3 linked regions of the Drosophila melanogaster genome follow. Changing the gene in region 3 together with the main gene of any one other region gives a genetic interaction. Each region holds a gene or a part of one and is shown on either strand. Other genes may lie near its edges.

Region 1 (10,774 bases), on a different chromosome or scaffold from region 3:
CTTAAAATATTATAGGTAAAACATTAAAATTTCAGTTTATTTCCCATTCTGTAAGTGTTTATAAATAACTTGATATTCCAAAAGGCAAGCCACTTCACTTTGGTATTCGTTAACAAATCCCTATCAGAAAAATGCTTGAAAGGGTATAAAGTTTTGGCTTAACTTGCAGCTGCCTCAGTGCAGGCTTTTTGCATATGAAAAAACTGGGGTCGAAGGAACGAGGAACCGAGGGAAATTGGCGAATTCTCTTGTGGTCCACGGGCTGGCGTGCAAATTCTTGACGTTTTTTCCCACATTAAGTGCATTGTTTCAGGGCTACCGGGCTTTGGTAGTGGTTCGCTGGTTTGGTGGCTCGTTGGTTCGTAGGGCACCTGAGAGATCTGGCCCCATGCAAAACAGCTTGTTAAGCACTTGTGCCTCCAACAAGAACAAAGGCACCAACACGGTTCCAGATTGTGTGCCCGACTTTTGGCTTGTGGACCTCTTAAGGCCCCAGTTCTTCGGGCTTATTAAGCAAAGCTGAAAAAAGGCCAAGAGAATGGCTTATAAAAAAGGTAGCAATTTCCGCGCTTAACTCGATCACGCACTATTATCATAATCAGTTTGGTCAAGGCGGAGTTGCACTCGTGGCATCATTATCGCTATCAAACTTTTATACGATAAAGAGTTGTGAGCAAACTGAAGAGATATTCTTATGATCTAAAATCTAAATGTGCACAAAAAAGGTTAGATAAAAAATAAATAATATGTGACATGTACATATGTTCTCTAGAAGTACATTTAAATATATACTAAAGAATAAATATTTGTTGGTTTCATTTCAATTATAAAATTGATTGCCGTTCCTACTCTTATCAGTGAGAAAAGTATAAATTTAAACACACCTTTTTTAACCTTACCCTGGAAATAAGAGTAATTTTCCTATTAAATTCAATTTCAGTTCCTGCCAACGTAAACACGAAAAGCACATTACTCATACGCCCTGTGGCGGCCTTCTGTTTAGCGAAATGAAATTTCTCTCCCACATTTCATGTAAAGGAAACTACAAAATAAACTGTAGCACACTCCACTTGAAAATTCAATAAAAAAAAGGGAAGAAATTGATCAAAATTGAAAATGGGCAATAGCTTTGATCTCCTACCAAATCCCCTCCTTCGAGCTTAGTACGTATTTTCGGCCACTCTCATGCCAACGTAAACAAATATAGAAAAGTTTCCAACGCTCGAGTGGCCTTTGGTACAGTTCGGTTCGGTCTCATAAATATTTAAAAATTAATTTCACAATATATTGAGGGGCCTGCGCTGATGTGTGTACTTGTCTGTGAGCGATTTTTCAATTTCATACTTCATTTTATGGCATAAATGCCAAAGTTTCAGTGAGGCTGGCAAAAAAAGAGGGAATATTTGGCTTATATAAGCTGCCATCATGTTTTATAGTTCCATTTCGTATATGCATTTGTGGGGAGGTTCTCTAAGGTGCAAAAGAGGGAGCAAGCGTAATTATATACGACCTCCCACTTCAGGACAAGGCAACGCCTTTTATACTCTAAAACTTGTGTATGTAGAGTGACAGCAGGGAGGTAAAATCAAGGCGGAAAAGTGGAGCAGCCGAAGATGGGGAGCACTACCAAGCACTACCTTTCATATGTAGCACTTTGGTCCAACGTTATCGTATTTTATGTGCAAGTGCTTCGTTGTCCTGCTACCAGGACCTCTATTTTTCGGTTTGCCATGCACACAGCCCCCATTTTCACCACCCCCACAGGTCATGTAGTTTTGCAACATTTTCTGCACATTTGTGCAGTTTTTCATGTTCCATGCTCTCATGTGCACCAGCCAGGATATGAAAATTTTCCAAGCGCAATGAACGAGTCTTGTGGACTGTGAGTGCGCGTGCGATAGAGAGGCACGGCGCAAGAAGAGAGACAGACTGAGTGCATCTGTGTGCGCATTCAAGTTGGGAAAATTGTGCACTTACATTATCATAATGGAAATGCTTTTGACTTGAGTGACCAGGGTTGCCAACGAGCAAATAATTAGGGGATTTCATTGAATTTTATATCAGTTGTATTTATTTCATTAATACATAGTAACTAAGGAATGCACACTTTAATTTGGCTACAAACACTTTATGTTTTCTTTATTATACTTATATTAATTTTAATTACTTTTCTTGGGATTATTAATACATCCAGATTTAACTAGTCAATTCCTAATTACATTTATATATCTATAAATAGGAACTTAGGTTTCTTTATTACTTGGAAACAACATTTTCTATTTAGCAACAAATTCAAATCTTCAACAGTTATTTGATTATAAAGATTTCTGTAAAGATACATGACTGACTGTCGTGGTGAAGATGTGTTATAAAATTCATATATATATACATAACAAATATAAAAACGAAATATAGAAACATCCCGCCATTACTCTTTTCTATTAGACTGGCAACCCTGTCTTAAGCACCTCTATCCTGCAACTCTGTACGTAAATGCAAGCGAAGCCAACTGTGCCATATTGCCCTGCACCTACCCGCCCCCTCAAGGCGGTGGTATATACAGCACCACCCCCTCTGGGCGCCCTAGGCAGCCATTGTATTCTGATTGTGCGCCTTATGGCCCAGGACTCCTTCAGGGCTCCTATATATACACAAGTGTGTGTGTGTGTGTGTGCGAGCGTGGAGAGATGGAAAAATATTATTTTTCATAAATTTTAAAATATACCATGGGCAGGACTGGGTGAGCGAGTGAGAGGGCGAGCCTTGTGTGTGTGAGCTTCTTTTGTCCTGCTTCACCCGTGTATAACGGTAAATGCCAGCCATACGTGGTTATATATTTGTACAATATACATATGTACACGTCGAAGGCAAAGTAGAGGAAAATGTATGCAACATTTTACAATGCAAAAGCCATTTACTTGGGCAACGTAGGAAAGCCAAGGGAGATGGAAAACTAAGAGCCCCAGAGAGAAAGAGAAAAAGGACCGTTTGCGTGTTGGTGTAAGTGTGTGCCGCCTGCATGTGTGTGTTTGCTCGTGAGGCAGTCAGCATATGAAAAATGAAAAGTCACAACTGCGAAACGAAAAATACGAAAAGAATACCGTTGAAATACAGCCTTAGGAAAGGAAAAAAAATATTTCTCCTCTTTGTTTCCCTATATACAACAAATACCGCCCGCAAGCATTTATATACACATAAACATCATGGGAAACTTTCAACTTTTATGTCGCCTCGTCCTCGGTGGGTAATGTAAATAAAAAGAGACAGGAAATGTTTGCGATATGTAAGAGCACACGACACAAAAAAAAAAGGAAAAGTGCAAAATTCTAAAAAGTTTCCACAGAACGCGGGGATGATATGGCAGGAACCATAACTTAGGCACCCGTCAGCTTAGCTTTGTTGGTTGGTCCTTAGGTGCTCGCCCTTCAATATGAAAAATGAGCCAGGGAAGGCAGATGAAATTTTGGGGCTGGGCGATTTTTTCAAGTTTTATGGGGCGTATACGGAATGTGGAATACCAAATGGAAGAACTAAGGGCACAGTTCAAGAGGTGGTTGTCTACTTTTTCGAGCGTGTTAGTTAGGTTCTGCATATGGTAAAAATAACATTTTTTAAATATTCAAGTAAACACCTGAGAACATATGAATTAGAGCTACAAAAACAATATTTTTTTCATATCAATAAAGAAAATTACATTTTTACTGCTTATAAGAAGAATTTTTTAGTTTTTATTATTTACCAATTATCCTTATATAGGTTTTTTGAACGTACACCTATTGTACACACAAGTGCTGCAAGTAAAATCTTCAAAAAGTACGCTCGCATCAGTTTTACTCTTCCCCAACTTCTTTATTTCATAACTATCTTTTGATTACCAAATAGTTACTCCGTGAATAGTTGGGTCATACTCTTCAGAACCTACCCCCACAAACTAAACCATTTTCAGACGAAACCCATCGATTAGTTGGATTTAAGCATCTCGAAACAGCGACAACTTAAATGCTTACAAAACAAGAATAGTGGAAAAGAGGATGTAAAGGAGGCTGCAGAGGAACCAAAACACAAGCAGACGGGCAGACAAGTGAATAGAAGTGACAAACCAAAAATAAAAGGGCCAAGAAGGGAATTTCCTCGGCGCTAATCAATGAAATTAAAGCTGCGGCCAAGGCGAAATATCTTTAAGGACTCACTACTGAGGGGGGGCGGCATGGGGGAGTGGAACATATAGAATAGTGAGCGAGCCAAGCTACTGCCAACTTTAATGAACGGAAATTAGCAGTCAAAAGGTAAAAGCCCTCTCGCTCTCTTTTTTTCACCCGCAGCATCTGGACGCCGCGGCGAATTCGCGCACATGCACACACAATGGCCAACGGCGAAATGGAGAGAGCTCCCCACGAAGAGCGAGCATGCGCCGCAAGAGAGCGCCAAAGCTCCATGCCGATTGGCTGCCGGCTGCCCACTTTGGGTGAGTGTGTTTGTGCGGGAGAGAGCGCGCTTGTTGGATATATTTCCCCAAGATTTTCTACCTCTCCCTCCGCACTTTCTCTCTCTTGCGTTCTCTTTCTGTTCAGGCATAAACAAACCATTTTGAATAAAATCAACAGCAACAACAGCGGCAACAACTACGTTGTTGCAACAATGTGGATCCCAAGTTGCCGAGAAAAATCAACTGATTCTACACTTAGAAAAGTTTTATATATTGGTTATAATACAATTTCATTAAAAGCCTATTAACATTATAAATTTACTTATAATTGTAAAAGAAATGTATTTAAAATACGCTTAGAACCTTTATATATAAATGTATAAATTATAATATATTCTATTTAGAGTAACAATAAAAACCAAATTAAGTTATACCAAGACGTGTTTGTGAATATTTGTTAAGATAAAATATAGAATTTAAGGTTTATTTCTGTTAAATATTAAAATGGTACAATAGAAAATGACTGGAATATATATTATATAATTTTTGTAAGTGTATGGTTACTACAGTTGCTTGTGGTGCTTCTTCTTCCATTTATTCAGCTAGTACTGCTCTTCTTCTAGATGCTTTGGCCTGGTCAAGTTGCATTCAATTGCAGTTTTTCAGTTGCCACTCCGTTGGCCGATTGTCGGTTGTCGTCCTCGCGACTTTTCTTGTTTATTTTTTCAACTAGCTGTGTGTGCGTGACAGCAACAACAATAATCTGAGGACGCCTCTTGTAATTATTTTAATTTATGCGTTTATCGCTTTTTGCCTTTTGCCGCCGTTCAGCGGATTCTGTTGGCTATCTGTCTGCATTTGGTTCGTTTTTTGCCTTGACATTCGCATTTTGACAGCACGGCGAATAATTCTCGGTTCTGCCATCATTGCAATGTCAATTTTTTTCATTTTTCATTCGCTGATATTCCGACTTGTCCACGGGGCGTATGCGTAACGCGAGTTGTGTTGTGATTTCTGGCAAGTGCAATGCCGTCGGAACATTGATTTTGAAAGGAATTAAATCTGTTTTGCCCATAAAATCATCTGCTTTAGTATTATATGTTTTATTTTATAAAACTTATTATTTTTATAAAAGAAAGAAAACGGTTTGGTATATAAGCGGCCATAAAAAAATCAAAAAATCTTGTATCTTGTGCCGAATAAATAATGAATCATATGATGAGAAACAGTACTTGAATCAATAAGAATTTTAATATATTTTATTATATTTTGCAAACTGAATTACTTGTATACCCTTATTCGGTTACTCGTATGAGCCTGACTCCTCTTCTCCTTCTCAATTCCCTTCAAGAGGAAATTTTCATGCCGCTCTAAACTACAAATCAACTTAGGAGCCCCCATATTATTTCTTCCCTCAACGAACAGAAGCAGCGGCAGTCAATACATACATAATTCGGAATCCGATAAGAGCCACCCACCCATATATACATATATAGAACACTCACACACACATATGCAGTACTATTTTCCACCCACACAATACAAGCTTTTCATTTTAAAACCTCCTGTAAAAAAAAAGAAGCAAGAGAAAGAAAAACGAAGTCAAACGCCCCAAAACACCCACGCACCACCCCCTCCACCTGTTTTATGGCTCCCTTTCCCCACCCCCACAGACACACACACACACACAGAGGCACATCGCAAACAGACCAATACACTGGCACACTCACACTCACTCACTCTCTCCAACATCTTCTATAAAAAAAAAGTATTTTTTGTACTCGCTTGACATTTTGTGGATACGTCGGACGTCGTCGGAAGTCGTCGCGAACTTTGCTTCTTTTTGCTCTTTCTCTTTTCTTTAGTCTGCTTTTTTTTCACTTTTTACTTTTTGCCCATATCTCCTTGCGCGTTTTTTTAAGTCAGTCGTTTGTCGGAAGTCAATCAAAAAGCGTGTCTCGGAGAATTGTCCCAAAAGACAGAGATCACCTCACCTCACCTCGACGGCCCACAGAAAATGCAGAAAGGGCGTGAAGCTGTCGCCATTCTCGTTGGCAATTACAATTTATAAAAGTGTGGCAAAGTAAACAATTAAATTATAATTCGTGACAGCAGGCGAAAACCAGTAGAGGAAAAACCAGTAAGGAGGTGCGCCATCTTCCAGCCCAAGTGAGTTTAACTCTTTTTTTTCTTTTGTACCCACTGAGTGTGTCAAGGAGCTTGTCTTGTAACGCCCACACTCAATGCGATCGATGGATCAGCCAGATGGATGATACAGATGCCGCAAGAGAGAGAGAGAGGGCAGAACTGTTTCTTCTGGCCTGTCAGATTCCTAATGAGCTTTCCCAAGTGTCTGCGCGTATTTCAGCGTCCTTAATTGGCCATATGTGTTTGAGGGCCAACAAGTGTCCCGATATGGCTGACTATGGTAGTTGGACGGGCGAACTGAATCCATCATAGAGATCTTGGTCGGGCTTTAGCTAATCATAACAAAATTGTGACCATGTTCTGGTCAAATCTTTAACAATGGAAAATCTTAAGGTTAGATCAAATTAAGATGCAAAATGTATTAATAACAAGCAATTATCTTCAAAATGAGGCAATATATATATATATATATTGAATATAGTATTTGATTTAAAGGATAGTTTAATAACTTTTTCTAAATTTGTTCCATTCCATATATTTTTCATAAACCTTCTGTGATTTGTGTACCCTATCTTAGATGTGCCACATATATATTTTTATGGGTTTTTTACAATTCCACTTCTGGCAATGATTCGATCGATAATCACGACAAACAATTTCTCAACCGAAAGTCAGGCAAATCACATCATCGAACTAAGTTCCCTCGTATCTTTACAACCGAACCGTGTACACCCAATAGAAAATTATGAAAACACAAATTCCAAATTGAAGACAAACACAATGGCAATGTTCGGTATTATATGATCGGCGATACGTTTCCAATTGGAGTAAGCAATTGTGTTTAATTTTAAAACAAGATGAAGTTAAACAAAAATAGCGAAAGCCCCGATATTGTCGGCCCAATAAGGAATTACCGTGCCGATTGGGAATTATTGAAAGTAGCACCGAGGAATAAGTGACTGCATTTAGTCGGCGTTCGCTTTGATCATACCGGCAGATATATCGATTCCTGGCAATTGGTTGCTGACATGCAAAGAACATAATTTACCGACTGGCAAAATTGATAAACAATCTTCGTGTGGCACTTTGGTTGCGGCCAATTTGCCGTCGATACTGACAACTCAATTGATTTGTTTACAAGTGCCATTAATGTTAGTTGCCCCGACCCGCCTCTTCGTGGCTCATATGTACATAAACCCGTTTGGTAATGTATGTAAATAACCATTTCCATAAACGCACTTGCACTTTTCAGCACCGTATCTTATCTGGCCAAGTTGACTTGTTGTTCGGGGCATTTGATCGTTGCGCTTGTAGTTTAATTTCCCATTTCTATTTCCTTTGATTTCATCGCCTTTTGCCGTGATTTTTCGACACCCACCCACCCACTCCTTATCTCATTTGACTTCAATTTGTTTTCAATTTACAACAATTTCGTTTCAAACCACATTTGGTAAATGTGCCCATTTTCATTCTCCCATTTTTTGTTTGCATAATAATACAAAGTTTAGGTTTTAGTGCCTTTTATGGTGTCTACTGCTGTAAAGTTGTATACAACCACTTTTCACTTGTGGGAGCTGATTCGACAGGCCATGGGAAAATTTAGAGAAATGTTTGGACTGCTCAATAAACGAATTTAAAAGAGCAAACATTTAAACTATATAAATTGCGATATGTACTTTTATGACATGTTTACTTTCGAGTGGTATGGAATTTCTGTAATTATTTAACTGAATGATATAGTTTCTCACATATTAACATTTTCATTCAATGCTAGGTACAGTAAAACTTCTAATCAGTAACTTACTTTACATTTACCTTTTAGAAGAGAATATTAACTTTTAAACTTTTACCCTTATATATTTTTTTATCAAAATACAAACTTGTAATCGCAGAATGGGCTGACAATGCAATATACTCATGAGCCAGTTAATAAACTAAACTAATTAATCTCAGTTATAAGGTATACAAACATCCGTTCGATTTCAAACAAATCCACTGTTTCCACCTGTAACGTGAAAAGTCACGTGTACAGGAATGTGGATGGGTCAGTTATTTTAAGGGAAAAATCAATTACTTCCGCTATCGAGTCGTAAAGATCACAGCGCTCTATGTATTTAATAACAGCTTTTTAAAGTGCAGTTAACAGCAAATTAGGCTTTCAGCCGAAGAAGACACTTTTAATTATCAACCCATTTGCAGGCAGCAAAGGAGGCAGAAGGAGGAATACATATCGCCAGCGGTCCATGGGTCAATATCATAATCTGAGGCAGCAACCGGAGCGGCAAACAAGTCGCCACAGGCAGCAAGGAGCAGTTGAGTTGGCCATAAATCAAAGCGACGCAATTTGCTGCTGACGAACTGCAACGCAACAGCGGCAACAAGAGCAGCAGCATCAGCAGCAGCAGCAACAACTATGCCATTACTGCTGGCAACAACACTTGCCAACAATTCCCATCATCAACACTTGAGCACAACAGCAACAGAGACAGCAGCAGCAGCAGCAACAGCAAAAGCAGCCGCAACTGCAGCAGCAGCAGCAACAGCAACCATGTTGCTGACTTCGCCGACAGCAGCAACTCATTGCCTTGCTGCTGCAACATCGGCAGCAGGTGTTAATGTTCAAATTACTGGCCAAGGCGTTTCAGCCACTCTGAACGACGATCAACTGCAACTGCCGGCTAATTATGCCGCTAACGTTGGCCATTTGAATGGCTTTAACCCTAAAGACAACTGCCCACCAGTTCCACCCACCAGCGAGCGGGCTTTTGAGGGATTGCTACGCCTGCCGCAGATACAAGTCAAGCAGGAATTCATGGAGTCGCCGCCAGAGAGGCCTAGCTGCCATCCCATGAACCACCAGCAAGCACCAGCCAATTCAGGTGAGTTGACCTTTTTCTCATCGGAATGGCCATATATTATAAGGCCATATTATAAGCAAATGCATAGGTATTCTTAAATTATGAAAATGTTGTAAATGTTTTTTACGAGTTGCCAAAGCCTTTAGGAGATGGTACACGTTATTAAGAGCTAAATATCTTCATTTATTCTATTAATTGTAGCACTTAAGAAATCTAAAATGTATATATTATACTCCACCGCTCATTTTAACACTACCTTTGGACCCCTTAATCAAAATAATGCATTTTAGTGCTTAAATATAGTATATTATAATATTTTCTATTCTCAGTCTCCATTTAAACGACTGTAAGTTATCCACCTTGCAAGCCCCGCCTGAGTCAATAAAACCCCATAAAGGAGTTAACCCTTTTCAGCCCACCGCCCAGCATCCACACAAATGCATATGTGTATTTAAAAACCCATTAAGTGAAAAATGAGGTATTTACAACGTGTTAACAAGAGCACGGCCATTTTTCATGGTCTTCGGCCCGAAAAAAAAACAGGCCTCAAAAAGTGGGCGAAGCGCCGTATGCCAAAGAAAAACTCGTGCCAAACGCATGCTTATGGGATTTTCAATTTTTTATGCATCGAAACAGATTTCATTTTTTATTGGCAAAGGGGTCGTCGTCATCTTGATAGAGCCGAGAAAAAGGATGCGACACAAGGGACCCAGACCCGGGCTAATATTGCAACAGAGTGTGGTGCCACGAGTGCGAACATTTATGAAGATTGAAAGGGTTGTCAAACACTTCATCCGTCTTAAGGGACAAGGACAAGGAGAACCACAAGGGGTTCAAGAGGGTGCCACACATCCTGTTGCTCCTGCTGCTCAATCCAAAAGGAAAAAGGGGGTTGCAACATCTTGTTTTCTTTCGATTATTGAAATTGCCATTTTGCCGTTTGATGATCTCACTCGGGGGACTTGAAAACACTTTTCGTGACCTCAATTGTTATTTAAAGCCAACCGAGCCCCCAGACCCCAATTTACACAATATCCAATTTAAATAGGACTCATTACCATTCATCTTCATATGTAAATCCATTTCCTCTGGTCCAGCTCGGAAATGCTCACATGACATGCAAAACCCACAAAAAATCGAACCTCCTTAAGTGCGCAATTATCAAAAATTTAATGTAAAACAAAGGGTTGGAGCACTAAAACGAATAAGTTCAACACGCGACCGGAAATTAAGGTCGATTTAAGCAAATGTAACTCACCGAAGTTGGTTTCTTTGATTAGATTTTCTGTTAGATATTCGTGATATTCATTCAGTGCCGAGATCGTTAGCATTTGATGCTATC
Region 2 (10,792 bases), 2.9 Mb from region 3:
GACCATTTCATTGTTCGATCGGGTTAAGCCGATGGTTTATCCCCTACGTTGGCGCCTTCTTCCAGCACGACTCTGCTGGCGCCTTTCCTGCTGCCTCTCCCGGCGAATCTCCTGGCGCCTCTCCTGACGCCTCAGCCGCCGGAGCCTGCGAAGCCTGCGCCTCAGCCTGTCCACCTCCTCGCTGTCGGAGCTCGTGGAGGAGGAGGACGTGTCGCTGGACGTGGAGGGGGCCGTGGTTGTGGCAGTCGTCGATGAGGTGGAGGAAGTGGGCGAAGTGGAAGAAGAGCTGCTAGGAGTGGAGGACGAAGTAGACGTAGTGCTATTGCTGGACGGAGTTGAGGTGGAGGACGAAGAGCTGGGTGTCGAACTTGAGCTGGAAGTCGATGGAGTCGATGAATTGGAAGTGGGTGATGTGGAAGAGGACGAGTCGCTCGAGGATGAGTCGGTGCCACCATAAACGGTCGCCACGAGGACAACCAAACCAAAGGCCAGGACGAATTCGGGTCTCATCTTAAGCTCTGTCTGTTGAACACTGTACTCAAGTACTATACAGCATCCAGATCTGTGTCTGCTATTTATACGATCTATCTGGAGGGGTTTGGTCCAAAATCTCAATCTGTGCGTCGTCTTAGTTTGATCTTAACATGTGGCATTTGCGGCAGTGTTTTGTTGAACAAGGTGTGGAAAGTTCCTATGTTTGTCGAATCTACAACAGCAATGGAGCTTCTATTTGCGCAGTGTTATTTTTAGTGGATGTGCCAATACGGCTCAAGAAGAAAGTGCTTAACTTAGAGGATGTTTAATATAAGAACATTTAATATTAAGCAAATATTAAGTGCTCTATCACATTTATTGATGATTAAATCTTTCTTTGAATAATAATATGCTGCTTAAAAGAGAACACGAAGTGACTCTGCTTGCATTGTAGTATTCATTTTAGGAAAGCCAACTTGAAGGATTCTGGGTAGAATGGCCACTTTACCCTTCCTTATCTTACGAACTGATTGTTCCTATTGTATTTAGTTATTTTATTCAGAATAGTCCAATTACCTATTTTTGCTTAGTCACTTCTTAGTCAAAAACTATATTTGTCTAGTGCCTGTGCCGTAGATTGTTTCAGAAAATCAACAACTGCTTCAATGTTTAACTTCCCAACAATAACCTTTCCAGCTTTCCAGACGTTTTCAGCAAAACACTGGGCCACGTGCCAGATGCTAAGATGTAAACCACCCACGGATTGAGATTTTGGACCAAACCCCTCCAGATAGATCGTATAAATAGCAGACACAGATCTGGATGCTGTATAGTACTTGAGTACAGTGTTCAACAGACAGAGCTTAAGATGAGACCCGAATTCGTCCTGGCCTTTGGTTTGGTTGTCCTCGTGGCGACCGTTTATGGTGGCACCGACTCATCCTCGAGCGACTCGTCCTCTTCCACATCACCCACTTCCAATTCATCGACTCCATCGACTTCCAGCTCAAGTTCGACACCCAGCTCTTCGTCCTCCACCTCAACTCCGTCCAGCAATAGCACTACGTCTACTTCGTCCTCCACTCCTAGCAGCTCTTCTTCCACTTCGCCCACTTCCTCCACCTCATCGACGACTGCCACAACCACGGCCCCCTCCACGTCCAGCGACACGTCCTCCTCCTCCACGAGCTCCGACAGCGAGGAGGTGGACAGGCTGAGGCGCAGGCTTCGCAGGCTCCGGCGGCTGAGGCGTCAGGAGAGGCGCCAGGAGATTCGCCGGGAGAGGCAGCAGGAAAGGCGCCAGCAGAGTCGTGCTGGAAGAAGGCGCCAACGTAGGGGATAAACCATCGGCTTAACCCGATCGAACAATGAAATGGTCCAAATTGAAAAATAAATGCATACACAAAAGCAACAATCGTAGTTATGACTTGGTAACTTGGCACCTTAAAAACAAGTGAAATCATTTGGATCGAATTGTTAGTCAAACAAAGAAATTCAATATTCGGTTTCATCTTGGAAAAGAAGAAGAAGGCTACACTATATACTCTAATGAAGAATCCTAAGTAAATCATTTTCCGATCTAGTTAGTTGATCAAGTGGAACTGGTCTAAGTGCAGACATAATTCCAGATGATAACTTAATCGATTAGGAACTTGCAAATGAAAGTGAAAAATAGGAGTTTGTTCTAAGTTTTCTTTTAGTGAGAATTCATTCTTTATGTACAATATGCCATCTTAATCTATATTTAAGCTTAGAGGTTATTTAAATATGGCTTTCTGTTCAAAAGGCTTAACAATACATATTCATCTATTTAATAAACAATGTACTGTGTTTGCACACATGCTAACAATACGTTCAGCCAGCCAATCCAAAAAAAACCGTTTTGCTTAGTTGCTAACTAATTGGAGATTTGTCATTTGTCCCTGGCTTTCTAGCCAGAGCATCACCTTCAGGTACGTCAACCCAACCGGCTGATCCACGCCCACTTCGCCTAGAGGCAGTGAATCCAGCAGAAGCCGTGAGATGACCAGGTAGCGTTGGGTCCAAGGACTTTGAGGCTCTCACGGACTTTCCTATTTAGCAGCTTATGGACTGACGATCTGTTGATATATTTTGTATGATTCTAATAGTACTGTGATCCGATAAAATATCTTTCAGATTGTAACGAAAGCTATCTTGTGCTCGTTTCGAATTTTTTTGGACTGAATCGTAAACACTTCGTGGAATTAATTATCTTTAGTTCTAAAGCCTCGTGAGTTTATTTCGAAACAAGGTCTCATATATGTTCTGCATACTTTCCGGGCGTTCTGTACTTTAGGAAATTCGTTACTACGATAGTATGAAGCCGAGTCACTAGTTCAGATAGAACCAAATGGAGTGAGAAAGCTATGCGAGCTAAGAAAGCTTGCTGGTACATGCTGTGATTCTGTGGAGGACTGAAAACATTTCTCTTATGGTGTCTTAAGGTATGCAACACAAAATTGCATTCACATTTATATCTAGGGTTTATATTGGTTTTTCATGTAACAATTTTATTTGCATTGAGTTACAATGTCATGTGAGTTGGGATTCCCATTTCAGCCCCGACGGCGCTGCTGGCGCTGGCGCTCCCTCCTCTCACGGCGTCTCTCCTGGCGTCTCTGACGACGTCGGTAGCGACGACGCCTCTCCTTGCGGTTCCGCTTGGATGACGAAGAGCTACTGCTGGAGCCGGAGGATGAGGAGTCGCTCGGGGAGGTGGACGTGGTGGGCGATGTGGAGGGCGAGGTTGTGGAAGGAGACGGATTAGTCGAGGATGAGCCAGTTGAGGTGCTGGGGCTGCCAGAGGTGGTTGATCCCGTACTTCCGGTGCTGCCAGTGGCCGTACTTCCGGTGCTGCCTGTACCCGTGCTTCCGGTGCTGCCAGTGCCCGTGCTACCGGTGCCCGTGCTCCCGGTGCTGCCAGTGCCCGTGCTACCGGTGCCCGTGCTCCCGGTGCTACCGGTGCCCGTGCTCCCGGTGCCCGTGCTCCCGGTCCCCGTAGTATCGGTGCCCGTGCTGCCGGTGCCTGTGGTATCGCCACCAGCATAAGCGGTCGCCAAGATGGCAATAAGACCAAAGGCCAGGACGAATTGGAATCGCATCTTTAGCTCCGTCCGTTGAACACTGTACTCAAGTACTGTACTTTCTCTGCATTTAATTAGGGTATTTATACGCATCACCCACGATTTTTTTGGTTCATTTTCAGACTGTGTGTTTGCTCCGAATCATCATCATTTGCCGCACGTGGCTTAGTAGGATATTCTTGAGACAATTTGGCCGATGACTATCGAAAATACATTTGTTTGAACAAGTCAACAATGGGGGAATTGTGGATTTGTTAGATCTAGTTTATTCTAAGCAAGTGTGCAAACACAGGCAGCTCGGGTATTGTTTTGAGTTCTACTGAATAGCTATTCAGCCATTCTAGCAGTGCTTTAGCACTCGGCCTTATTTAAATAACCGCAAAACAGATGCGTGTTTGGTTCATAGAGATTTTGAAGGATGTATAAAAATAATATAAGATAGCAATGCCTTGAACGCAGTGGAGTTCGAGTTTTACTAAGGTTCAAGAGATAGGCTTATGGCGGGATTTTGACTCTTTAATGGAAGAGGTTCGTGTGATTAAAGCTGAATTAATAATTACTGAACTACCATAAACAGTTCTAAGGAATCTATACAATCTTTCAAAATGATTTCGAAATCCAATTTCGAATCGAAGCGAAACGAAACGGTCACACTGCTTAACAGTCGCGCCGCGAGACGTTGCCACCCGGCTAATAAAATACCAACGTTGCCGCTCAGTGGTATTCCCGCCTCGGCCGTGCACTGGCCACACCAGCCACCGCCTTCGCTTCGCCGCCCGCCATCCAAATTCGATTCGTTGGTGTTTTTCGCTGCGCTGGTGTTCGTGTGTTCGCGTTGGCGCTGTCATCATCATATCGTATCGCATCGCTCCGCTCCGAAAACCGTGGCAATTGTCTGTTTTTTTACCTGCCAGCGAGTGCGTTTCAGTTGCCCGCCAACCGGCAGGAATCGCAAATTCACGTGCGCCACTCTCCAATTGGACGAGTGCCTTTAAAACAGTGCAACAAGTGGTTTTTACAATTCTTACCAGCATTCAGTTCAAAGTGCCTAACAAACACACGCACACACATACGTAACCTACCTGACCAGCGCGCATATGTGTGTGCATGAGTGTGAGTGATACAACAACAATACAATAGCAGCAACACAGCTACGAAAATAACTAACTGCTTTCGTCGCAGTTTTTCTGCAAGTGTATGGGTTAATTGCGCCGAAAAATGTTAATTAATTGAAGCCCAATTGGAAATCGCCAGTGGCAAGAAAAGCTGAAACTAAGATCTGAACGCAGATCTGGTGAGAAATCCCAAACGCGAGGATCTGTATCGCGTGTGTGTCAATCGGTTTAAATATAGATCAGATCACAAGTGCACTTAAACAAACAGAAGGGAACGAAACAAACAAGTGATTAACCGACAGGTAATTACAGCTGCTCTTCTTTTGCATATTTTGCGCGTTTTCTCTGCCAGATATTATTCGCTTCTCCTTTATTGTTTTACCTTTCTTTCGCTTCTAATAAGACTCTTCTTTTTATCGGTGTGGCTGGAGTTTCTTGTTTTGCCACCCATACAATCGCACAAATACCTGTACAGCACATACACTCACACGCGCACAGTTATTGGCTGATTGGAATGTGTGTGCTTTGTTGTTGCCGTTCTCAATACATATTTGTTGTCAACGGTTTCTGCTTATCAATTGGAAAGCACGAACACAGCTACACCTGCACTTCTTATTGGCTTGGGCAGCCCTCCTGTTGGATAACAATAATGAGTGGCAAATTCTGTTCGGCCTGGCGAAAAATAGTAATATGCACTCCTGGGAGGGAGCTGGCGCTTTTCATTTTCCATTTCCGCTGCACATTTGTACCTTTCTTTCTGTGTCAATCACCTGTTCTGCAGCGCTGACACTTTTCACATGCCAATCGGCGGCAAAAATCAGAGGCAGCAACAAACAAATTAAAACGTGTTATATATACCCTTAGTCCCGTCGAGGTGCCAACTTTTGATCGCCAACTTTTGATTCCCACCGAATTCCATTCGAAAAGTCCAACCAAATCCCATTGTGCTCAGAGTCTTATTTGCACTAATCCCATGCAAATTCCAATTGGCGCGTTCCCATACAGACCAACATCGCTAGATAGAAAATCGTCTGGCGATCTTACGGTAATTTGATTTTGTAGATTAGCTCTTGCTTTTAAATGAAAGATATATAGAGCAGATATATTATGATTATTTACTTTCGATTCGATGCTAAGTAGTAATTGTGGCTTAGCGAGTTTTCACTGTTTTCAGTCACCGAATCTGGCGGTTTCGAAATTCTCAGCTGGCAACACTGATGCCAATTCGCCGTGACGTGGACTCCTTCTTTCGCCGCACAGTCAGCTGGCTGAATTCGCCGGTGTTTATGTTGTGGGCGCAGGAAGCAGGAAACTGCCAGTTGATTTCAAACTTTCAAGCGGCGCGCAAGGACATGCCGCAAGAGTACGGAAGTCGCAGCTCCTAGGAACGGTAGCAACTCCTTCGTACGTGTTTTACTCGCTTGAGTCTGTGCTCCTCAATTATTCACGAAGCAAAACAAAGTTTATGGCTCTGCAACTGCCCGCCGTTGCCTCGAATATTTTCAACTAGTGCAAGGCGAGCTACAAAAACAATGCAATGGCATGGGACAAGTGTCGAGATAGCGAGTGAGACGCACATAGCGTGCAGGAAAGAGAGAGCGACAGTGGCAAAGTGCAAATGTATTAAATAAATAACGAAACGAAGCTGTACAGAGAGAAAAAAATCATGTTGATTATGAACCATCGTAGAGTAAAGTAAAAGTGGGCATGCGAAAGATTTTGAGTAGGGTAAACCCTTGTTTCTCTCAGTGTCATCTAATATGTGCCTGCGGTTTGGCTACTTTCTGCCCTGTCTTTTGCTTTTGGCCGGCTTTCTTGGCGCATTGCATAAGTGTTGGCCATTTCACCTCACTAACGCTCTCCCCTTCCTCCTCCTTCTACCCGCAGATAAGCAGCCAACGTGACGTACTCGGGCGGATTAATAATTGAGCAGATAGCGGATAGCAGAGAGCAGCTAGCAGATATCAGATAGCGAATAGCGGACACAGCAGGCCCAGCAATGGAGTCCATGGAGTACGAGATGGCACGCAACATGACGTTGCTCTTCTTCCTGGAGCGACTGCTGGACAAGGGCGAGCCCCGCACCGTCCACGACCTGTCCTGCCAATTCGGCAACAAGGAGTTCACCAAGGAGATGCGCCAAATCGCCGGTGGCAGTCAGTCGGGTAAGTTCGCACTAACTAAGCCAGCACTTAGTAACTACACTTCGCAACAAGCAAATCCATATAGCCAAAATGCAACTGAAATAAAAATGAAGAGGCCTGCTATATTGATTGAATTGAAAACAGCTCTCTTTAATCAAAAAACTGGATCGAATAAAGTCAAGGAAAGTGCGCTGAAAATGCCGTGGCATTCAATTCATGCTCTCATTTGAAATGTCGCCAGCCGAGCCTGGGAAATTGGAAACGTGTGCGGTGGAAAGCGGTAGTGTACAGTGGACATTGGACACTGAACGGTGGACACTCTTGTTCGGCTGCGGTACATACATATACAATACATATTTGTGCACCTGCGGGTTTGCGTTGTTCGTCACAGTCACAGTCGATGATTGTGTTGTTCATGTTGCCTTCGAGTGGTCGGCGTCCAAGTGCACATGTCATTGCCGTTTCCATTTCCATTTCCAATTGCAGTTTGCCGATTGCCAGTTGCCGCAGGGGAGTCAGTCAGTCAGGCCTCCTCATTTTCCATCTCCCGGCTGATCTCAATGCCAAAAACCACAAAAACATGCCAAGGGTTTATCGCCTTTCATTGCAGCCGCCAAGCTGCAATCGATAATGCTCCACCCTTGTGTTTTCCACAAGTGGTATGGATATATGGGTATGGGGGTGTTGGTTTACAACTGGTCTACGAAAAACAGGCAAAGATTCTCGAGATTCTCGACTTGTGTACACGTGTTGTACTTCCATTGACAAGTCGGCACATGGAAAACTCTGGCCATGCTGTTTATCAAAATGCACGGTTAACTAACGCGAGCGACTAAAAATAGACGCAACAAACAACTTTCGGTTTTTATAAATAGCTACCACTTAGTTGAGAGTTGGGAGTTGGGTGTTGGGTGCTGGGAAGGTGCAATGCACTTTCCCTCGAGGCGAAGATATGTGAACACATTTGTTTGATGTTCTCACTTGTGGAGAGGAGGGTTTTGAAAAAGAGCCACAGGAAATGGCACGCATTTGTTTACTCCGCACCTTGGGGATTTATAGCAAATCATTAAGCTACAGCGAATCATCATGAACTTGAGTTTTATGATAATGGTCTTATGACATCGCTAATTATAATAAAATTAAGGATGTACTGCATAATTTTTATAAGATTTTTGTCAGTATTTTGTGAATAAAATAAAAAGTAGTTGACCAAATGGGGAATGTCCTACCTTCCTGAACTCGCAGTGAAATTCCCTATCGAGTGGTATTCCCAGCTAGAAATGTTAGATTTCGACCATTTTTTGCAAAATTTGATGATGTAACCCCTTATAAAAAATGCGAAAAATGATCAAATTTTTTAATTCTGAAAATCGGCAGGAAAGTGATAGGGATCTTTAGTTTAAGTAAAAAGCTGCACAAAACGGTCATTACTTTCGCTGGGCGATTGTTTTTAGCCAAGTTATGAGCTAAGACCTGTTGGAGATTATCAACTTTTGGCCATAATCGTGTTTAAGACAAGAATTACCCATACTGCTCTTGCTTGTCACACTCTTCGACTTCGACTTGGCTAATTGCAACAAGAAAACAAACATTTAACAAAATGTTTATCACATTTGTTGATTTTTTAGCCATGTGCGTGACTCTGCCGCCAAGACAAATGGTGTTTACCTCGGGTGAGCAACATTTTCGCCGAAATACAATAGTTTAGTCTGTGACTTAAAGCGCTGGTTTTACTTTTGGCCCAGAACGCAATAGACAAGTTGGAGAAAGTTCAGGGAAATACGCGGCTAACACGCAAATCGCAGCTGGATTAGAAGAATAGACTGGGAAACTGAATTAATTGAATGGGAAATGTCAAGGTCTGGCTTATAAATAGAGAAGAGTGAGTTGCGCATTCCCGAAATTGGATGTTCCAAGTATGGAACCATCGAGCCAACGTTAAGCAGTTCCTTGGCCAATGGCATTTCGATCCATTTCGGCCACTAATCCCGGTTTTCATTCCACCCGGGACTGACCTAAAATCCCACAAACATATCTTATGCCTCTTCAATTTTGTCAACGTGTTGTTTGCCCAACTTATAAGCCGTTAAGGCCGATGGGTAGCATTTTGCACCCCCGCCCACAATAGTCGGCCATCCAAGTCAGCCATTATGTGGTTTTTGGCCAGGAACGGATTGGGGGATTGGGGGAGTGGCGGAAACTTTGTAATAGAAAAGTGTCGATTACGTGACAAAAATGTTCAATTGAAATTTCAATAAAATTGCATGATATTCTGGGGACTGAAGACCACATCCATTTGTTGCTTCAATAATAAATGGAGGTGTGTGTGTGCCACCATGCATATTCCCCAGCGATTGATGAGGGTTCTCTGGTGGGGAAACATCTCCGGGAAATTAACGTTGAAAGCAATTTTCTAGCCGGGCAGGAGGAGAAACTCGAACGGCGTTTATTGGGTTAGACAAACAGTTTTGGAGAGTTTGCTAAACTGAACTGAAACTCGTTAATGGCGAGCTTAAATTTCGCTGCTAATTTAACGGCCTGCCAGAAGTAAACACAACCATTTAGCCCAGTTTATCGTTTTGCCATTTTGACTTGCCAGCGGCTTTGAATAATTGCACACACACAAGCAGCTGGGAAAAATAGAAAAGGCATTCGCACCAAAAACAGGCCAAGCCTTTTGCGAAGGTTCGCAAATGTTTTTCTCTGTGTGGGTTTTTTAGTTTATTTTTTTTTTTCGCTTTGCGTAATCGATTGCCAAAGCAAACAAAACACACGGACAGGCAAAAGTTGTCAAAGCAAATGAAATAAATACTTAAGCTACACAGAAATCAATTTTGTAACTAATGGCTGAGTTGGTTTATTTCGCTATGCGAAAAGTAGAAAATCAAGATAGAGTGCTGTCTAAAATTCAATGGAATATAATCACAAAACCTAAGTTGAATAACATACTTAAATCTATTGATTATCAACTTTTAACCAAAAGTTGTATAGATTGCCTGATCGATCCGCCAGCTAATTTCGCTCGAACCTTTTGCGTTTTCGCCACGCATTTGAATTTCTGACATTGTCGTAAATTTAACGATTTTATGTCGAGCGAAGGAAATCCTTTAACGCCTGCCAGCCGTTGCTCCCAACCCCTTAACCCTTGAAACCCCCGGAAATCCACCAAGGAAATACCCCCGTTGAAGCTCCACATTTCCCGGCATTGCGTGTGTGCAGCCAAGGTCTTTATGCTTAAGTTGACTTTTGCTTTTTTCCCAAAGTAAATGGAACTCGCATTGATTTTTGACATTAATCGCAAAGGGCGAAACATTTTGTTTAAGGCGAAAGTGAGTGTGGCACTCATTATTTGCCAACTTTGTGCCATTTGTTTCTAATTGATCGCTAACCGTTTTGACAGCCAGGACGCTGTGATGAGGCGGCACTAATGAGTTCCTAATGAAGTCACGACCCTGGGAACGTTCTACATTGGAGGATGTGGCCCACAGAGTGAGTAACCCCAAGTGAGTCATAAAATCCGGAGTTTACGGCCAGGCATAACCCTTTACCTGGCTGCTCTCCACTTACATTTCGATTCACAACATCCCGGGGAAATGCTTTCATTTCGTTTCGTGTCTTTTCGTTTTACGTTTTCTTCAATAAGCGGCAAGGCATAAATATACATAAATTTATGGCCAGTGTCCTCGGTGCATTTGAAAATTGCCACCGCAAAAAATGTGTCCAAGTGGGTCGAGCCGTAAAATGCGGCAGAGTTGCGCCCCCCAAGAATCCCCAAATCCGTAACACCTGCTCCACATCCACTTTGGCGGTCGGCGGTCGGCAGGCGGCTGGCGGGTGTTGCCAAAGCAGTTTGCTTGCCAAGAATTGCGGCTAAGCACACAGCCGCAGACAAATACAAACACAAAATATTCAAATATTCAAATATTAGCCCGCCAAGTGGCCGAGTTGTCTATAT
Region 3 (10,551 bases):
TCTGACAGTCGCGATTTCGATTTCGCTACGTCGGTAGGTCGTTAAATTATTTTCTTTACTGCTGCCGCGTGCTCTTCACTTCTACTTCAGCTGTGAAGACGCGGCGATAAGGAAGGCAGCTCCGCAAAAAAAAAAGCTGAGCCAGCGCCAAGTGCAACTTGAGGCGCCTGCGGAGGCGTCGGGTTTCCGCTGCTTCGATCCGAGCCATCGAATATTTACCCATACTCCTTATACCGACGATTTCCGCAAACTTGGCACTTCGAAAGGTGAATTTCAGACTGTCTCAGATACAGAAGTTAATCACTTCGCGATCTGTGGCGTCTCTCTTTTGCGCGCTGACACACAGAAACTTCGCCGGTGACTCACGACATCTGAGAGTGTTGCTTATTGTTTTCTTTTCACAGATAGCTCTTTGAACTCATGCTGCAAATATGTCGCACAAATCGAGCTAAGCTGACTCTCTGTGGATTAGAATATGCGGTTAAATTAACTCTTAGTTTAGTCTACTACTTCTCATTCTCCGCAAGAGCGTTGAATTAAAAAAAAAAAACCCTTTATAACTAAAACTTGTATCAGCAGAGCTTTGAATTTTGGTATGTAGGTCTTTTTTAATCTATTGCATAACTTCTGAAAGTTTGGTGATTATCACGAAGGGCATAACTGAGTTACTATCGGCATACTTGCAGCCATAGGGCTGCATGCAGCGCGTTTACCACGTTATCTACTACTATAGTTTTATGAGCCTTTGGACTAGCTGATTTGAGTACGCCTTAGATAACAGCGATAGTTAAATGCCACTCAAGTTGGCTTGCCCCATTAATCATCAACAGCACACACAAATAGAAACCTATAGAAACCCCATTTGTCAAAATAAATCCAGAGTTCTTTCGACACTGGCCCATTGAACAGTATCGCAATCCATCCACATTGTGCCAGTTCGATAACATTCGACTGTGGGCAAACGAAGTTATGCATAGGTAAGGTTATGAACTCCAGAAACGCTGCGCCATTAGTTCGGTCTATAAATAGCCAGCAAATGCATGTGCCCATAAATTTCACCAGTGCAGCATATCGAATAATGCTCGACTTAATTACACATGGGGGTAGCAATAGCAATGCAGGGGTGCAGACAGCTGGCAGACGACGCGACTCGCAGTGGCACAAATGCACTTAAGTTTTCTTCGCTCATCGCTCTGCTTTTTTTTCGGGGAGGAAGTCGTGGCATACGGCACACATCACTGCCACCGAAAGGAGGGATGTATACTCGTAGTACCTATGTGCGCTATATGGGATTGAACTATGGAACAGGCAGAACCAAACTTGATGTGCATAACTCAAGAAACTGTGTCAAATATCCTTTTTGAAGTGTCGAGAAATACAGTTTAGCTCAGTCTTTAAACGAATGTTATTTTGCTTTCCCAATGTATCTTGACATATATAGTTTGAACATCTTAAGGCGAAAAGGTGCGCAGAACTCAGGTAAATCACGGCATCTGCAACCCTTAGCGAGTGCTCACTGTACGGCAATTGCATTGTAGCTCGCGCCAAAGTCTGGCAGCTGCCGTCTAGATTTCGGGCCTCAGTCTTAGCATCCAAATCTCAACCGGAATCCTTCGCAGACGCAGGACTCATTCGCTCAGTCAATGCTCTCATTGGGCTCTGGGGATAATTGCTGCCAAACGACGTGACATTTCTCCCTGACAATCCTTTGTGCATTCTGCCCGGCATTTCGACTCATTCTTCTCCGTCATCTGTAGCTCAGTTGTAGTTGCAGTCATACTAGTACTTACTATGGATGTTGTTGTTGTTATTGTCACTCCGTGCAAATTCAGGCAGCTCGACAAACAGAATGAAAGACAGACACAATTTATGTTTGTTCGAGCGGTGACGAAGGAAGTGAAGCTACACTGAGAAAAATTAACTTAGTTATATGAGTTTTAGTTTTGGAACTAAGCCAAGAACTTATAGTTCTTAGAAATATTCTAAAGATAAGATCATACTTGCTTGGTCTTGTTTAATTTCACATCTATGTAACAACCAAAATGGTGTTCCTTGCACTTAAGGTGGATACGTTTCTCTCAGTGTCCTTTTATGGCAGCTGCTCCGGCTGAACTGAGCTGAGCTGCGAGGCTCGTGCATTTCGTTAACGTGACAAAAATACATTGATTACATTTTTTTTAGCTGCACTCGACTCGGGGATCTGCGTTTTTGGGCTCTAGGAGCTAGGAGCTGGGATCTGGTAACTGGGAGCTGGAAAACTGGGTACTGGGTACTGGGAACTGGGACCTGGGCGCACGTCCGCACACTTGGCACATTTGTCAGGGCGACGCCGCGATGTAAACATCTTGCACGTAGGATCCGGGGTCCTTTTGCATCCTGGCTGGATGGCACGACAACTAGTTGTAGTTGGAATCGGAGTCCTCGTGCTGCACGGGGTCTTTGAACTGACAAATTACATTGACAACGAATGGGGCGAAATTCCATTCGTGTGCACTCTGAACTCCAACTCCTCTAGCTCCCCAGAACTGTCTCATTTTGTGAGGCTCCACACTGAAAAGTTTGGGGGTCAATGCCATGGCATTTCATATAAACAAAAAGTTAGGCATAACTGTCAGCAAGCAAATAAAATAAACAAATGTCAATAAATGACAATTGATTGTGCTTTTCAAAGTTTTCGGCCCAAACCATTATTAGTCAAATCAGATTGTCTATTTAGTTTACATTGTGTTAATGATTTAAAACTCTCGGTTTGGACACGATTTATTTGTATAGCCATTTGAAAATGGCATTTATTGTCATTTTTTTTTTTTATTGCTACGCGTTGTTAAAATTTCTTGAAAGGTGTCAATAGCAAACAGATGTTAAACGAGATACAGTATTGAATATTGGTTTTATTCTATGAATTTCGATCCTTCATAAGCGAAACATTGTTTTCATTTGTTAGTTTCAGTGCACTTTGTTCATTAGTTGTTTGTGGATTTAATTTGCTTACTTGGCTCTGTGCTTTTGCTTATTGTTTCAGTTAGTTTCGCAATTTGGAAACTATCTCAAATTGGCAATAGTGAAAAGAGCAAACACATCGTGGGCTCCTCTTAATTATTTTCACCGACGAACGGGTGGGCGATCGAACTCTTATGGCTGTAATAATTGGTGCAAAATTGTTCAATTGCCTAATTGCTGTCGATTGCTCATAATTTTTAGTGTAACACTGTGTATTTGTGGCACATTTTCGTTTTATGGCCACGAGCGTTCATGAATGAATGGGCTTTATTTACAGGGCATTTAAAAGTTTCGGGTAATCTTATCACCCAGAAGTGTTCAAACTTGCGCAAGTCATCAAACAAATTTCGAAACGGAAATACCAAAGGGTTGAAATAGTCTAAACGAAAAGATAACTGCCTTAAAATTGCGCCCAAAATTCGCACAAAATCGCAGTAACAATAACAAGCGAACCTAATCAAAAATCCAAAATCTCAGGCAGCTGCGCATGCGTAGCAGATGAAAGAGATAGCGAGAGATCGCACCTTTGAAAATGCTACCGGAACAGCTGGCGCAGAAGAGCGAGAGGGAAGACAGGAGTGAGTGATAAGAAATAGCAACAAAAGCGCATAAACCACCACCAACTACTACAACAACGAACGCGACAAAGCGAACAATGCTCTTCATTATGCCCGTTATTATTAAACAAATAGGGAGAGCGAAAGAGAGAAAGGTGAGAGCGCACCATGTTGATAACACACCCCGTGTAGCTAAAAGTTAGCCAGATTCACAATTAAAGGAGCTAGAAATGCTGATATATGCTCAATTTGATTTATGATCACCTATAAAAACTTGATACTGATAATAGCAGCTAATAATACTTTAATTTTCAGTACCTTAAGACACATAATTCAAAGTATGCACTCAATTAAAACATTGTATTAGATATCCTTAGCTAGAAAGTAGTCAAGCTGCCAGCACTGCCTACCTTACTCACCCAGGTAATTTGACTCCGACTCTCCGGCTTACTGCTCTCCCACCCCGGGAATTAGAAGTCTGAGTCGAAGTCGCCAACTGTAGCCGCTCATTCGATTCCCAGCAGTCGAAGCACGCAGACGCAACCGCTGCGATCGTCGCGAGATATTTGTGTTCGATCATTGTTTTCGTATCGTTCGGGTTAACCACGTTCGTTGAGTGTCGTGTCGACTTGTGTTTACCGTTGTGCAGTGTTAAACTATTTACGCTTTGTCTTGTGGGTGCAGCACCCCCACCACCCAGCCACCCACTACACATACGCACTGTCAAGTTTTGTGGTGCCCAAAAGTAATCAAATGACACGTGCTTGAAATACACATTTTACTATCCATCAGTGGCGGCCGAAACAACAACAAAAGCATAAGCCAAACTTGGGATTACCTCGGCATTGTTTATACAGGAAAGCGGTAAGTTTTGGCCACAATAAACCGTAAAGCACATTCGGAATGCTTTGACCCCAATAAGCTTAACAATAAACACAAATATTCAATACGATTCCGCATACGCCCCTCGTAATTACACATGCCTTAATTCACATAATCACAAACTACAGACATATGTATATATTTATGTACCTCCGCCCATTTATTGAAGTAAATTCCGATGGTTTTTATTTTTGCTCATTCGAGGACCTCGCTAAGCCGCGTTTTATGACTCAGGAGCCTCACAAAGTCAAAGTCGTCAGACCGCAAACTGATTTCGTTCGCTTTTCTCCGAATGTTCTTTATAACGTAGATCCCACAAATGAGTCATCCGTGCGCTTGGGGATACCGGAGTGGATACATAACTGCCTGAGATACGTATGTATCGTATAATTGGGGGAGGCAGTGGGCTAAGGTGACTGATCAGGTTGATGGGGAATGAATGAGCTGGGGGTGCTGGTGACTAAGCCCCCAGCATTGGATAACGCTAATTGGGTTGGGTAAAGAAATGTGTGCACACAGATGTGATAGTCTGCTGGCTAGGAAAGAGTCACCTCTAAGGCAGTTGTGAATGGGTTACATTGAATAACATTCCAGTCAGTCCTCAAAAATATCCAGTTATGTAGCTTGAAATAAAAAACATTTCTAAAAGAAGATTTTTAAGTTTCTTTGAATGTTTTGGTTGGTCTCTTACATTTTAATCAGCTTATGCATTTGAAGAAGTTGGCTTTCGCCACCTCGAATACTTGTTATCTCGACTCATCTGGAAACCTCAGAATATATCAGTGGCACGATTTCAATCTCACCGCATTGTGGTGTTTCGCAGATTTCCCTAATTTCAGTTTGCCCGCGCCTAATTGCAATAATCAAGGGAGCACCGCATAATCTCACTGATCTAGTTCCAGTTTAAGAGCGTTTCTGCGGTCTCGATGGCTCCATTAGAGTGCTAAACACCGGCCATTACGGCGGTCATCAGGAGAGGTGTTATTACCTGGACGTCTGGACGTGGAAACCAGTCGGCACTGGAAGTCACTCACCTGTTGCGGCCAAGAGATCGATATCATTGACAATTGGTGTCGACGGTAGCAGCAGTGGTATATAATGCCAGTTCGATATGTTGCTACCGTTAGATGGGAAATGCCAAAGCAATGATGATTGTCCATTTGAGTGGGATTAACGTTTAATTTGGCTTAGTTTATTGATTTTCCATCGAACAGGTCGGTTAAATGTCAGGGAATGTCGCGAAATGGAACATTTCGTCGATTGCATTTGCTAAACCATTTGCAACTCTTTGTTTTTTGCTCACTCATGTGTCAGTTTGACATTTTGCAACAATGGTCGATTCTATTGAACGGATTATGGCTGCCGCGACTTGAATAATTGCACGGTTTTAATGCGTTCATTCAGTTTTTTACATAATTAAATGATTGTTTAAAACTGATTTATTATTTAATTGTTTGCCACTCGAACGACAACAATTAATTATGCAATGGCGCAAAGATGCGATATAAATAAATAATAATTTCATTATAATCAATGCAACAGCTGCCAGTGGGCGCAAGTGATGCGCGGAAGGGGCGTGGCAAGCAATTAAAATTTATTACTCTTATTTTGCATTTATTCCATTTTAATTTGTCGTTTAAATGTCAAAACTATTAAAATAATTATGCTGGATGCCGGATTAATCAATGCTCTGGCCTTTGTCCAATCGATTTTGATCTGGTTGGGCCGTAACTTTTGGTTAATTAATCGGGGTTACGAGCGGGGAAATTTACCCCATCCACCCCATTCAACTTTCCCCCATTTCACCTTGTGTCCAATTTGTGCGGCTGACCCCAATGAGCCAAGTTCAGTTAACACTTAACCACCCCGCATATTAACTTAATTATCATGATTAACATTTTCTGTGTAATTTCTGTATTTTCGCTGGCCGTTCTCAGTTGAATTTTGCGATGCAATTCCCATTATTCGTACCTTTTAAACTGACCAGAACTTAAATTTGTTATTCAACACGCTTCCCTCGCTTTTTTTCTGTTTTTTTTTTTCTTGATTTGTTTATTATGAAATGCTTTCGATAACGAACCATTATCATATCTTCATGCGATATGGCAAAGAGTTCCGTTGATTTCTTTCTGTTTTCGCAGATTGAAGTGCATAAATTATTTTGTCTCTATTTTTAAATTAATTGGCAGATTGTCGCAGACTTTAGAATTCTATTTGGTCGCAAACTTGTTTGGCGACAACTCTATTAGGCATTTGCATATGAATTTCGACTGCCTTTTGTGCCTAATTAGCCGGCAAAAGTACAACGAACTTCGAAAATTGTCTTATTTTCTTAGTCACGAATTTAATGTACAATACATCAATTTCTACACTATGCAACACACCCAATTAAGTGCAATTTGTGACTTTGTGAGCCTCATTAACTCATCGCATCTCAGCTCAGCTATTTCTCCTCGTGGAAACCGGATTGTTAGCTAAACATTTTTTACATTACTTTGCCTTTGCCTACTAATGAGCAGAATTACTCATGACTGGCCCATGTAGATATAAATATCGATTGAGGGGCTGTTTTTCAATCAATTTAAACGGCGTGCCGTGGCAGGGGGAGGTGGTAATGAGACAAACGAACCACAGAAAAATTCAGTGGTCAAGGGCAGAGGGTCCTGAAATGCCTTCTTCACCGGCTTCGCTGGCTAATCCAATTAGAATTGCGCCGTCGGCTGGGAAGTCGTCTTTGTAGGTGTTCCCTAATTAGATTGGTGTTGTTCGGCCGCAAAGCAATTCCTGTGAAAAAATTGAAATTATTATTTGAGTCTAGATATCCACACATTTCTCTTCCAAATATAGTATGAATCGCACGGCCCGCTTTTCGATCTTAAATCCTAAATCAAGCTGCTTGAAATGTAACGAAGCTTAGGCAAATAGTAATAAAAACTGTTTTTATTGTATGTTTTTCTTAAATAGTTTTAAACTACTAATCCGAACAATTTTCACTTATTTTAACACAAGTAGTTTGCATTGTAACTGACTTTATAGCAGAATTAAAAATTTTTTATAACAAGTGTACGTGGCACTTTACAACACTGCGCTTTGTTGCTGATCAGCAAAGACTCTCTCCGTGGTGGGAAACTTGGAAACTAGCAGAAGGTAAAAAAAAAAAACAATGTAATGAAATAATACCGCAAAATATACCGCGCAGCACAAAATTAACTAACGCCAGCGCAAGCGATAAACGATAACACGCGTAAAAATCTTCTGCGCGAACGACTCATCAACAGTTTTCTCTTGCCGAGAAATATTTGATTTTCGCCTGGTTTTAAAGTTCGCGGAGTGGATACATTGCAGCGGAAGGCTCTCGAAAAATCGGGTTAACTTTTGGCGGACGACGATCGCCGATTGAAGTGGGTGTGGGAAAATGCAAAATGCGGCACTTCGATGAGGAATATCCAAGATTGCCGCACGACGACGTCATCCTCAGTCACAAACACACACGCACACACCACACACAATAAACCAGGTGTGCACGGAGAATTCAAATTCGTTGAGATATTGTTGTAAATTATGAAAGCAATTTATCAAGCGGAAAGTGGAAATCGAAAGAGCTGGATAAAAGGGGAAGCAAAAGGAGGAAGTACGCCACAAACAACAACAGCGACGGCGGCGGAGCGACAGAGAAAGCGCTACAGATAAACGCGCCTTGAGCCGATCAACGAATACACAAAGCGAGCGAAAGAGAGGTGCCGATTGAAAGAAAGAGAGGGAGACGGAGAGGAGTAGAGAACAGCCGAGGGCAAATAATTATCTCTTTTCGCTGGATATCTTTCGGTTTTTTTGACCTCTAGCAAACTATTCCCTCGAGCATTTCTGTGTAAGTACGCTAATTAAATTACAAATAAAAACGGCAAAACGCTATAATTGCAAGCTCATAATTCACAACAAATGGTCCCAAGGCAAAAGCAGCCACAGCAACAGCAACACAACAACAACGACCACAAAAACGAGGGTCAAGTGGCAAGTTATTAACTTTAGAGGGACTTCTTCCATTTAAATAAGATCCAACGTTATTGCTAATAAAGCAACTAGCCTCGCACATTTCAGTTAGTTTAGTTTCATTCACTGAATTTGGCAAAACTTTCCGTTGTTAACGTACAATTATTGTTGTTTTTGTTCTATTTGACGTGTCATGCGTGCGATAAATATTAAAAAAAAAAAGGAAAACAGACACGAGGAAAGATATATAGGAGATGCCGCCGACATATCCGCCGAGCGACAATCTAAAAGTTTACGAAAATAAACACACACGAGCCAGCTGAATGGCCTCCCACTTATGATGCGCCCCCTGCCACGCCCATCGTGGCCATGTTTTGGTTTCATTTTCCATTTTTCAAAATACAACAAGCCACACACAAAATAATGACTTTCCTATAATAATTTTGTGGATTTCGGCCTTAATTGTTTGTGTTTTTCAGCAAACGTTTCCCATTTGTTCGTGCAGATAGAGAAAATATTTGTTTTTTTGGATAGAGAAGTGTTTGGAAAAGAAATAGATTAGCCACGGATAATATTATTAAATTTTCATACACTCTGGTAGAAATTAAAGCTTGAACATGGATATCAGAACTTTGACAAATTGCACATTAAAAATTCACTAAGATAATTGTATTCAAAATTGAGACAACACAATTTTTCCCAGTGCAGTTGTACGTTTATTTATGCATTTGAACGTGTCTGCCGGTTATTTGGAATTCCCATATGCAAACAATCGAAATTTTGGTTCGGCTGTCTACTTACCAGTTTTCAGGTGCATTTTGCAATTTCGAGCGATTGCATACGGTTTCACGCAATTGTGATTTTATCTTTATTGCCAAGAACTTACAGTTTTAGAGTCCGCAGCTTTTAATTGACCATGGGCTAATTACTTTTGCCTTCTGGCTGGTGATTGTTGTTGTTGTTTTAGCTGTAGCCGCTCTTCATTTGGGTAAACAAAAGATAAGCAACAGGTGCTCCAAAGTCTCGAGTTACCACATTGAGAGTTGTACTAAAGTGTTACTGAGAGATATGTGTGTGCGAACGTGACAATTGTTGCCTCTGGCTTAATCGATTACTCACCTACTCAAGCCCACTTACTCATCCACTCCACACTCACAAACACACTCACATAAACACACCCACATACATACGCCCATTAATCGAGCTGCAATTGAATGCCTTTTGTACTGTTTGAGCGGCACTGCAATAAGTGGTTTTCTCCTCCGCAGAGAGCGGAAATCCCCAGAGGGAAATGGACACCCGCGTGGAACTGGAACTGGAGCCGGTTGGCAAACAGGATAGGCTAAAGGATCAGCCGGATGATGAGAATGAACCGCTGGAAAACCAGCTGGAGCTGGAGCAAGAGCACAAGAGCCTGCTCACGCCGGTCAAGATTCCCCCGGCTCAGACCGCAAGTCCCGACCAGGAGGCCACGCCCAGCACCCCACCACCCATGAGCCTGCAGCCGGGAACATCTCGGCAGTTGTTCAGGGATGCCGCTATGGCGCACGGAGGCCAGGAGACCACATCGTTGCTGCAGCAGGAACTGAACAACATAGCCGCCACCCAAACGCCGGCCTCGAAACTCAGAAGCGCAAGCTCCACGCTGGATGCCAGTATATCCCGGAATCCCTCCACCACGGGCGGGAAGCACGAGAAGAAGCTGGGCCACCGGCGAGTGGCGGAGGGCGGTGAGGTGACCTACAAGAAGATCCAATCCAAGCAAATCATGGGCTCCATTCAGCTGGGCATCCAGCATACGGTGGGCAGCCTGGCCAGTAAGCCCAAGCGGGATCTGCTAATGAATGACTTCTGGGAAATGGAAACGATTTCGTTTCCGCCAGATGGTTCCTCCATAACACCTGCCCATCACTACAACGACTTCCGCTTCAAGGTCTACGCACCCATCGCCTTTCGCTACTTCCGAGATCTGTTCGGAATCGCACCCGATGACTTCCTCATGTCCATGTGTGCGTCTCCCCTGAGGGAGCTTTCCAATCCGGGTGCCTCTGGTTCCATATTTTACCTGACGACCGACGACGAGTTCATTATCAAGACGGTGCAGAAGAAGGAATGCGAGTTC

Evidence for each region.
Region 1: of insc (region 3) and pdm2, changing one enhances a phenotype caused by changing the other (phenotypic enhancement), as found in Drosophila melanogaster (one study listed by BioGRID).
Region 2: of insc (region 3) and egl, changing one suppresses a phenotype caused by changing the other (phenotypic suppression), as found in Drosophila melanogaster (one study listed by BioGRID).

Annotation. Positions count from the first base shown.
Region 1 is NT_033779.5:12,651,479-12,662,252, forward strand, and holds the start of pdm2 (POU domain protein 2), read left to right. Parts: upstream 1-5,686; 5' UTR 5,687-6,595; intron 6,596-8,773; 5' UTR 8,774-8,987; coding exon 8,988-9,453; intron 9,454-10,774. UniProt on the Drosophila melanogaster protein: DNA-binding regulatory protein implicated in early development. Involved in neuronal cell fate decision. May act as an octamer-dependent activator of transcription.
Region 2 is NT_033778.4:23,740,403-23,751,194, reverse strand, and holds the start of egl (egalitarian), read left to right. Parts: upstream 1-4,365; 5' UTR 4,366-4,995; intron 4,996-6,010; exon of another isoform or gene 6,011-6,097; intron 6,098-6,580; 5' UTR 6,581-6,692; coding exon 6,693-6,858; intron 6,859-10,792. Other genes in the region: CG12491 (uncharacterized protein), read right to left, coding at 37-510; CG34105 (uncharacterized protein), read left to right, coding at 1,343-1,816; CG13560 (uncharacterized protein), read right to left, coding at 3,051-3,596.
Region 3 is NT_033778.4:20,829,540-20,840,090, reverse strand, and holds the start of insc (inscuteable), read left to right. Parts: upstream 1-4,062; 5' UTR 4,063-4,421; intron 4,422-7,672; exon of another isoform or gene 7,673-8,307; intron 8,308-9,697; exon of another isoform or gene 9,698-9,720; coding exon of another isoform or gene 9,721-10,551. Other genes in the region: sktl (skittles), read left to right, coding at 9,721-10,551.